Linked DNA regions of Cricetulus griseus. Each later gene encodes a partner of the first gene's protein in a complex. Links are inferred from orthologs where the notes say so. Each region holds a gene or a part of one and is shown in the gene's direction. Other genes may lie near its edges.

Region 1 (5,303 bases):
TCTGTAGACCAGGCTTGCTTCAAACTAAGAGATCCACCTGTCCCTGCTTCCTAAGTGCTAGGATTAAAGGTGTGTTCGACCATGGATGACTTTTTTGCCTATTTTTATGAGCATGAACAAACAAAATCAGTTGATTCATTTTGATGAACAAGCTTCCCGATGGCAAACTAATCACTTAGTGTGTGACATCATTATTTAATTTAGCTTTGCCTGTAGTTAAAGTACAGGTTTAAAGGCAAGGCATGGGTGGCATATACCCTTAACCCCAGCACTTGGGAGACAAAGGCAGAACTCTATGAGATCTATTGATCATTGAGTTCTAGGTCAGCCTTAACTACATAGTGTGTTCCAGAATAGCTCGGGCTATATAGAGACTTCGTCTCAGAAAATCCAAAATAAAGCAAAACAAAAACAGCAACAACAAAAATAGCAGGGTTAAGGCAGGCGGTGGTGGAGCACATCTTTAGTCCCAGGATTCTGGAGGCAGAGGAAGGTGGGTCTCTGTGAATCCAAGACTAGCCTGGTCTACAAGATCTAGTTCCAGGACAGGCTCCAAAGCTACACAGAGAAACCCTGTCTTGACCTCCCCCCCACCAAAAAAATACCCAAACAAACTGAAGGGACCAGCTCCCCATTTCGGCAGACATGACAGTAACACGTGCTTGCCATGACCTTGTCCTAGTCACTAGAAAGTCAGATGCCTGCCTGTGGCAAGGAACCAATCAGAAGTTAGCTGGTGGCGCTATGCTTTACGGCTCTGGGTGTGCTTTATGGACAAGTGCACAGCAATGGCTTGAAGAGCATGGCAACCACCCTGGGAGGGCCTATGGGCCATAACAACCAGTTGGCCAATCAACACAGGGCAAGCCCTCCAAGCCTGGAGGCACACCAATCCTGAGCCTGTGTGTACCCCTAGACACTCCCCTTATTGCTGCCCTATAAGATCTCTATGCAGACTCTTCGAGCTGTCTTTGCTATCCGAGCTCGTTAAACAATAAAGCCTTGTGCAGTTTGCAGCAAGCTTTCGAATCTGCCTGGTGATTAGGGTGACCACAGTCCTGGGCTGAGACCCTGGAGGCCTGAGGTTTTCCGGGGTTCTAACAAAACCAAACCAAAACAGGCTTAAGGGCAAGGAGTAATGATAGACCGGCTAATTTCCATGGAACTCAGACTCTTATTTTCAAGCAGTAAATTCGGAGTTTAGGAGGAATCCATTGCATCATTTATGCAGCCTTAACTATGAACTATTGTTTTTTTCCCAATGACTTTAAGGTTGCCTCCCTTTAGCTTTTACTCATTAATGCTTGTTCACATCTGTGTAATAATCTGCCCATTAACCGATCAGTCCTTCACAGAGTATTTTTCCAAACATCTCAGGCCAGTCTTCAGGGTCATCTTCCCTCGCAGCGTCCCCCTTCTCATACGACACTGCAATTCCACTATCCACCTCCATAATCAATACACGGCTGCCAATGTCCCTCTTGAGAGCGGACTCCAGGCCGATCGCCAGAACACTCCACGTTGATAAGCGAAACACGGACTCTTGCTCCAACTGTGAAGGCAGCAAGATGCTAAAAACTGTAATGAAAATAACTTTCAGAGCAGCAATCAGAATCGGCAATGCACCCCCTGGCCACACTCCGGTCTTGCGATGGGAACCTTCCAGTTTCTGGCTGGCACAGATCAAGGTGTAATCAGGGCCAAACCAAGGCGAAGGCGGAAGCTAACACCCACTTCCGGGTCAAGCCTCTTCTGGCGAGGCTCTTGGGCTCTCCCCCCAGGCCACGCCCGACGGAGGGCGGGGCTACGCAGCGCGCTACCCGAACGCCGGCCGGCTGGTTATGCGCAGGCTCACAGGAAGCGCTCGCTGAGGACTTCCGGAGAGGGTTTTCCCTGACAGCCCGCGGCGTGCGATCGGGCGAGCGTGGCGCCGGGGAGAGCTGTGTGAGCGCCCCGCGGTTCTGGGAGCGTCAGTTGCGGGCCGGGAGGTTTAGGTTACCGTGGCGGCGCCGCCGCCGCCAGTCTGAGGACTCGGGGCTCGCGTCAGGCGTCCGCAGCGTCCGTGGGGCCGACCTCACTGAATTGAGGCGTCGCTTCAGGCTTTGGCGCCCCACGGTGGAGTCGGCTTTCCTACAAGGCTTAGTGCGCGCTCGCGGGGCCGGCCGCCCCCAGGTGAGGTGGAGCAGCACCCCGGGGCTGGCCCTGCGCCCTCCCCGCGGCGCGGTGACTAACCACGCACCCTCAGCCTCCCGCGCCGCAGGGAGACGCTGCTGCCAGTCAGCAGGCTCGAGACCCGGGCCCGTCTCCAGCGTCGCGGAAAACACACACACACACACACACACACACACCAGCAGCGCCAGAGCACTCACCCTGGACCAGTCTGAAGGTGTCCGGAGCCAGGGTGGCGCCGTAGGATTGCAGAAAGGAGGGGCGTTTGGTGGAATTCTAAATCGCAGTACCCGAAGCTTCAATACCGGATAGGTACTCAGAACTGGGGTCTGCACCCTTTCGACAGTTCAATCCAAGGTCAGTGGCATATGGCTGCTTTTGTAGAGTCATTTATTTGCCATGGCCCCCTGCCCACCTCCTAGCCATTTTTTTGGTCACACCAGCTAGTCTGTGTGCTCTGCATTTGCTAGACTCCTGTCTTCACTCCTTTTGGTCATGTTACGTATTTTGTATAAGTCCTTCAGCCTTCCTTCCTTCCTTCCTTCCTTCCTTCCTTCCTTCCTTCCTTCCTTCCTTCCTCTGCCACCACCACCCAGCAAGTCCTACAGTTTTCATTACTAAGTGGGAGAGAATAGGGTTGCTGCTGCGATTAAATTAGATATTTTATAGTCTAAGTATGTAGTTAAGTCCCAGTAAATACTAGCTCCTGCTGTTACTGTACTTGCTATATTGTGTTATGTATTCTTCAGTTTCTTTATGTAGCTTTAGCTTTTTTACTTTGTAATTAAGGATGTCTCATTTTTGTATGTTCTTGGTTCAGAGCTTTGCAGTATTATGTTTTATGGATTTTAGAAACTTTTTATTTTACATGTGTGGGTGTGTGCCTGCATGTGTGTGCCTATGTTCTGTTGTGAAGGTGGTTGTATGCCCTGGGACTAGGGTTCCAGAAGATCATGAACATGGGTGCTGGGAACCAGCACAGGTCCTCTAGAAAAGCAGCAAGTGCTCTTCACTGCTGAGCCGTCTCTAGTCCCCAGACTTCTATTTTTAAAAAATGTGACTTGAGTTTAGGCTGTTGTTGACTTAAACAGATTCAGTGTTTCCTTGAAAAGAACTGTCAGATACAATGGGCCCTGCTGCTCAGGTGACTTTGCTACAAGAAAAGATTGCTTTTCAGCTCAAGTCAGGTGCCTGTGGGTTAACGTGTACTGACGCTAACTGATACTCTCAGTTTGGAATAGATATGAGCGATTTCGATGAAGAATTGACAAAGCTTGCTTTGGCAGAGGATGGCAAGAGAGAAACCTCTGTGTTCTCTAATCCAGGAATGCATTTCCCGTGGCTTCAGGAGCGAATAGAGACTGTAGGTAAGTGGGACAGCACTTTCACTTTAATGCAACTAAGTGTCGAGACTGAACACAGCTACAAAGTGAATGACCAAGCCAGGTCATTTTTCCTCCCCCTTAATTTCTGTTGTTGTTATTGTTGTTAGACAGGGTCTTGCTGTTTATCCCTGGCTTGCCTGGAACTCACTTCATGTAGCTCAGGCTGGTTTAGAACTCCTGGTTGTTCTTGCCTTAGTCTCCAGGTGCTAGGGTTACAGGTGTGAATCAGGGTGCCTAATATTGTAATAAGATTAGATGGGGGTTTCCCTTTTCTTTCTTACAGCTGGAGACAAAAAGGAAATTAGAAGAAGTAGCTTTTTTTTTTAAATTTTATTTTATTCTTTTGGTTTTTTAACACAGGGTTTCTCTGTGGCTTTGGAGGCTGTCCTGGAACTAGCTCTTGTAGACCAGGCTGGTCTCGAACTCACAGAGATCTGCCTGCCTCTGCCTCCTGAGTGCTGGGATTAAAGGCGTGCACCACCATGGCCTGGCCCTTTTTAAAAAATAATACACAGTCTATATTATGAACTACACATGTATAAATTTATATATATGAATATAGTTCTCTTTACTGAGCACTTGTATTTGGCATTGGCAGAATATTGGGGACGTACAGATGAAGAAAATGTGGTCTCATTGAGGAGCACATACATAGGAAATGTTAAGGAAATTTCTGTTGAGTTTAATGGAAATGGTTCCTTATAGCATTGATGTAATAGGTTTAAAAGGCATCTTTCTTCATTTTTAATCTAATGTAGATGCAGACAATGCTTTTAGTGGGTTAACGTCTATAGGACTATATGAAGAAGCCGTGGTGGAATGCTGCATGGGTCAGACCTTTAAATACACTTAAACCTGCACTTTTCTTATTACTCTCCATGCATTTCTTGGCTCCAAGAATTTAGCTCCCATTTAAAAAGAAAAATTCATTTAGTTTTATATTCCCAGTAATTTAGTCCTCAGTAAATGTGAGGACACTGAATTGCAAAGAAATTAAACTCGCCCCCCCTCCCCCAGGTTTCTCTGTGGCGAAATTAAACTCTTAAGTAATGATATAAGGAAGCAAATCAGGTCTGTCTGATCTCAAGTCCTGTACTTCTAAACATAAAGAGGTAGATGGAACTTGGCCTGAGAGCAGTCTTCTCTTAGGTGGATAAAGGCTATTTGAACAGATACTGTGCCAGTTTTGTGGGCTGGTTGCCTGGAATTGTGATCTAAGCAGCTTAGTAGCTCTTACTAAATGCAGTGATTGCTTCAGAGAGCCAGCTGAGGCATGAGAGGCTCCATCCCTTTCCTTCCCATCTTTCTCTCCTCTCCTTCTTTCTCTCTTTCTTTTCTCTGTTTCTAATTAGCTTTCAGATAATTCCAGTACTGCTGGTTTCACAACCTCTTTGAGTATTGAAGGCTGCAGATCCTGGTGTTTGTAGTGTGCATTAATTAGGTCTATGCTATAGTCTTCCCCCTCCAGGCCTCCTCAGGACAGGGTCTTGTTGATCAGCCTTGACTAGCCTGGAATTTGCTACACAGAGCAGGTTGGCCTCAAACTTGCAGCAATCCTCCTGCCTTTTTCATCTGATTGCTGGAGTGATAGTCATGCACCACCATGCCCTGCTGAGGGACTGTAGTCTTTATCATGTTTCTAACTTAGATGTCCCCTATGAAATATGTTCTGTGTACTGTCTTGCAGTACTTATAAACCTGACTTGACAGTCTTAAGGTGTCATATAGATTGTTTTGTGAGTTTAATAG
Region 2 (5,174 bases), on another chromosome or scaffold:
ATTCTGCAACTGGGCCTTATGATCTTAGTAGGCCCTAAGACCTTAGTACAACTGACTGACTCCACGATGGAAGTGCCATTAAGGCTGTAAAACTCCACCTGCCAAAACTAAAACAAAAGCCTAATCCAAATCCATAGCTCTGAGGCAGTTTCTAAATGTACTAACCTTGCTTTTTAGCTTTTATAGTTCTGCTTGGTTAGATGTTATGTTAACTGGAGTGGGTCAAATCATGACAGGATTTTTGTGCTTATAAGCTCACCCTGAGAAAGGCTTAGGGCTACACTGGGATCCCGAACACTCAGTTGGTTGCTGGCTGGCTAATAAAGTTTTTCTATTGGCTTTTAACCTATGTCTGAACACTCTTCTCTGGTGAACGCCCCACAACAATTCTGCTCATTAAGTTCTTTTCTTTTTTCAAGACAGTTTCCTGGAACTCACTCTGTAGACCAGATTGGCCTTGACTCATTGATATCTGCCTGCCTCTGCCTCCCAAGTGCTGGGATTAAAGGCCTAGAAGCTCATTAAGGTTTTTTTATTTTTTTATTTTTGGTTTTTTGAGACAGGGTTTCTCTGTGTAGCTTGTGCTGGCCTCCAACTCACAGAGATTCGCCTGCCTCTGCCTCCAGAGTGTTAGGATAAAGAGTGAGGTGAACCTTGGCAGGTTTCATGGCGGGCGAGGTTGACCGAGGCCAAGGGACAAACATTCCAGGCAGACAGCTTAAATGAAGTTTTATTAGGAAGAGGCAGGCCAGCATAATGCCTGATCCTTACACCCAGTGCTGGGATTAAGGGCATGAGTCACCACCGCCTGGCAGTACACAACATAAAGATGGTAAAACTTGTATTAATAATTCTAAATTTTCCTTACTTATGGGGAAAACATAGTCTAGGCTGGCCTGGCAATCCTCCTTCAGACTCTCCAGTTCTGCGATTTGCCACAGTTCTCAGCTATTTGTCACTTTCGTTTTGAACAGGACCCTGCAATTTAAGTTTGCACTGGTCCTGAATGTGACAGTCTGAGATGCCTGTCTTAGAGCTTACAGCGAATGCACTGGCTGCTTGCAAGTACAGCAAGACCTTACTTTTAAGGCGTGTCCAATCATAAATGATAACAACTGTTGACTAAGGGCAAGCAGATCTGCTGGCTTGCTTGTCATACAATACAAAGGTGCAGCATGGAAAATAACTCAAAGCAGCTCACTACTGAAAAGAAAGTACTGTAGGGCTAAAAACTGTTTAGCCCTACACTGTTGAGTCAACTCAGGATCTGAAGGAGGAAGCCCATGCCTGCTGGAAGCTAACTCCTGAAGGGTGGGGTGCCCAAAGCACCTGGCACCCTTCCTCTGAGGGGGAACTCCGCACACAGTGGGCTCGGCCCCACAACATGCGGACGCTCACCTGACCCGCAGTGTCTTCACGCCTGCAGGAATGCCTTCTTCCCTTCACCTACCCAAGTTCAACGTCCTGCTCCCTTCCGCCAGCTCAAAGCCTAGGGGCGAGCCCGGTACCGCCTCTCGCGGAGGCCCCGCCCACTCCACAGTCCACGCACATAGCCACGCCTAGCACGTAGCCGCGCTCTCGTACCCACCCGCCGCTAAGAGCTCACGCGAGATCTCGGCCTGCCCTAGTCGGCTGCTGCGAGCTGGAACGTTCTTTTGGTCGCGGTGGAGGAGGGAGACGGGTGTGTTTGCGTTGGGCGCTCGGGTCTGGCGCGATCGGTCGGTGCGGGACTCGGAGACCGCGCGCGGGCCCGGGCTCTTTGGGCGGCTGTCCGCGCGCAGTCGGCGCTGTTGTCGGGTGAGGCGCAGCGGGCCACGCGTGGCTCCCGGTCGCTATCGGTCGCTGCCGGAAGGTTTTAGAGTGTCCCGTCGGGGCATTGTGCTGGTGCTGCCTTCCTAGGTCGAGAAGACCGCACAGGTAGGACTGATTTCTAGATAGGTTCCTCGTGTGTACTTGGCCATTACCCTTAGAATTTTCTCCGCTCTATCGTTGGTGCAAACGGGCCAAGTATGTTACGTTGCAATTTTGATGGGCTAATACTAAAAAACAATGGGGAATGGAGAAATGGCTCTACAGCTAAGAGCACCAGCTGCTCTATCAGGGGACGTGGGTTCAATTCCTAGCAGCCACGTGGTAGTTCACAACCATTTGTAATGGGCTCTGGTTCCTATTTCTGGTATGGGTGAAACCAATGCACTATCCGTAAAATAAGTCCCCTTTTAAAGGAAAAAAGTTAATAACCCGGGAGGTGGTGGTGCATTTCTTTAATTACAGCACTCAGGAGGAAGGCGGATCTTGAGTTCGAGGCCCCGCCTGCCTCTACCTCCTGGGGTTAAAGGCGCGCACCACCACCTGGCCAGTTGCGGCCCCTTTAAAGCTGCCTTGTGGGTGCTGGGAATTTAATCTGTCCACTCAAGAGCAGTCAGTATTCTTAAAGCTAAGCCATCTCTTCAGCTGACTCACCCTAGAGGTTCTATTGTTGGGATTACAGGCCCATTGGCCATTCGGGAAATTGAGGCATACACACTGAGTGGCTAAAAATTCAGCCTTCCTAGGGTAAACATCCGAATTAATGCTGTTTCACTGTGTGGCTGGCTGGTAGTAAAGCCACTCAGGTACTTTTGTTAAGTAGAATTAGAAAACACTGATTTGGAAAGTGGTCTCTCCTTTGCTTTCACTTGTAGATTAGAATTGAATGTGTGGGTATCCAGGAAGCCAGAAACATGCCATGTTGAAGTTGTGAGCTACCCAATGTGAGTGCTGGGAACTGAACTGTGGAAGGTTACACTTTAACTGCTGTGCTCCTCACGTGGATATTTTTTTTTTTAAGACAAGGTTTTTCTATATTGAATTAGAGCCTGTCCTGAAACTAACCTGGAACTCACAGGTCTGCCTGCCTCTGCCTCCCAAATGGCTGGGATTAAAGGCGTGCACCACCAACAGCTGGCTCACTTGGATGTTTTTAAAGATCTAAAGTGGACTATCCTTAGGTCGATTTTACCTAAAGTCACATGGTGGTATGGTGTATGTTGAACTTTTCATTAGAATGCTAGGTGCATCACACTGAAATTGTAATTGCAGAGATCGAGTAATGGCTCAATCAGAAGTGACTTCTGTTGACTGCATGACACCTGATAGAGCTGCAGACATTGGACATCAAAGGTAAGGCAGCTTTTGTGACTAAACACCCTAGAGTTGAGTCTAACTGTTCAGATTGACAGGTCTCAGTAGGTGGCCTCATTCAAAGATGATCCTGCCTATTTCTCCCAAGAGCTGGAATTAAAGGCTTATCACCACACCCATTTGAAAATGTTGGGTATGATTTTGGGGGAGCTGGCTTTGGAAGAAATGTACACTTAAATTTTTAATGTCTTCTCTTATGTGACTTATGAGTGAGTGCTTTGCCTACAGTCAGTATCATGTGTTCAGAAGAGGGTGTTGAACTCCATGAAACTTGAGTTACTAATGACCATGCTGCCTGAGGGTACAGCCTTGCCACTCGTGAATTGGATTGTTTCTAGTAACGACTCAGTGATGCAGTTTATTTTATTTTATTTTTTTAGCGATGACTCATCTGATAGCTTATTTAAAACACAGTACGTTCTTTCACCTACACGAAAGCAAAGAAACCCTACGACAAAACGTGTCACTTTACCTGCAAATGTTGACACTGACACATCAAGTGACTCCTCTATAGAACCAAGGCTTTTGACTTTAAAGGCTATTTTTGAAAGATTTAAGAAAAAGAAACGGAAAAAAAGGAAATACAAGCCAAAATTAAGACCAAGAGGAAGACCACCTGGAATAAAAAATGCTAGAAACCCTAGAAGGTCACAGATAGGTGTGAAGCAAATTAAAAACAAAGGAGCTGTGTTTCCATTCTTAGAATCTGAAAATGGAAGAAAACCCTTACCTTGGAAGAAAATTTTAACATATGAGGTGAGTCATTCTCATGTAAGTGAATACACTAGGAAATTGGAATGATTGTTGCCCCCATCTTTTCTTCCTGGTTTTTCCAGACATAGTTTCTCTGGGTTTGGGTGTTGTTGGCCATTTTTAATTTGAGGTCCACCTGGGACACATTTTGTTACTTTGACAATAAACAATGTGTTCTGTGTAAAGTCTGCTCAGGTTCCAGTGTTTCTGAGTGCACTGTTTTTAGTGTGTATACAAACTTAGAGAATAATGGTCCAAGTCTGTAAATGTACAAAATACCCTCATCTTAGTCTCTAAACTACTCTCAAGCATATCTTACCCAACTTTAAATTAAGTAGCCCATCAAACCAGTCATTTCAAAGTAAGCAGATGTTATTTCGTTCTTTTTATTTTTTATGTCATTTACTTTTTTGGGGGGGTGTTTCGATACAGGGTTTTCTGTGTAGCTTTGGAGCCTATCCTGGCACTCCTTTGGAGACCAGGGTGGCCTCGAACTCGCAGAAATCTGCCTGCCTCTGCCTCCCAAGTGCTGGGACTAAAGGCGTGCTCCACCAACGCCTGCCGCAGATATTTCTAAGGCCATTTTTAGAAGTACCCAGAACAGGCTGGAGAAAGCAACATAAAGGGTGCTGCTTGTTAGCTGGTCATGTGCATTGTTAACCCAGTTGCTCTTGACCCACAATCTAGGATACACAATAGTTATCAGTCCTGTTAGTTGATACCTTCTGGTAATCCAAATGAATTTAACCTGACTAAGGACAAGGACTGGAGCGATAGATACACAGCTCAACACTTAGCTGTTCTTCCAGAGTACCCAGGTTCAATGCCCAGCATCCTACATGGTCACTCAAAGCCATCTGTAACCCCAATGTTGCTGTCTCTTCTGGTCTCTGAGGTAACCTGGCACGAAGTAGTGCATTGGTATGCAAAACACCCATACATGGGAAAACCCAAGTACCCTGACACAGGTTTTTCAAATATTTGGGCATTAAATATTGCAGGGATATAAGTGGTCCTTGTTTGGAATTTGCAATCAGGATTAATGTCATTCTTTAAATGTGTGTGCATGTGCAGACCTAGCAGGGCTTGCCAATTCAGGTGGTCTTCCTAGTTAGCTTGTTGGGTTACTATCTTTCCAAGTCTGGAACCACCATGTACGTACACTCAGTATTTACATGGTTTCTGTGCTTCCAAATCTGGTCCACCTGATACACAGTAAACATTTATCCAGCCAGGCC

What was found. The genes of interacting proteins can lie anywhere in the genome.
Region 2: Taf1a (region 1) and Taf1d share a complex: the UniProt entries of both Homo sapiens proteins name them as parts of the transcription factor SL1/TIF-IB complex. The link is inferred for Cricetulus griseus from reciprocal best matches to the Homo sapiens genes TAF1A and TAF1D.

What each region holds. Positions count from the first base shown.
Region 1 is NC_048598.1:11,100,406-11,105,708, reverse strand, and holds the start of Taf1a (TATA box-binding protein-associated factor RNA polymerase I subunit A), read left to right. Parts: upstream 1-1,867; 5' UTR 1,868-2,172; exon of another isoform or gene 2,173-2,526; intron 2,527-3,400; exon of another isoform or gene 3,401-3,410; 5' UTR 3,411-3,412; coding exon 3,413-3,536; intron 3,537-5,303. UniProt on the Homo sapiens protein: Component of the transcription factor SL1/TIF-IB complex, which is involved in the assembly of the PIC (pre-initiation complex) during RNA polymerase I-dependent transcription.
Region 2 is NC_048597.1:128,814,404-128,819,577, forward strand, and holds the start of Taf1d (TATA box-binding protein-associated factor RNA polymerase I subunit D), read left to right. Parts: upstream 1-1,627; 5' UTR 1,628-1,917; intron 1,918-3,081; 5' UTR 3,082-3,091; coding exon 3,092-3,162; intron 3,163-3,563; coding exon 3,564-3,939; intron 3,940-5,174. UniProt on the Homo sapiens protein: Component of the transcription factor SL1/TIF-IB complex, which is involved in the assembly of the PIC (preinitiation complex) during RNA polymerase I-dependent transcription.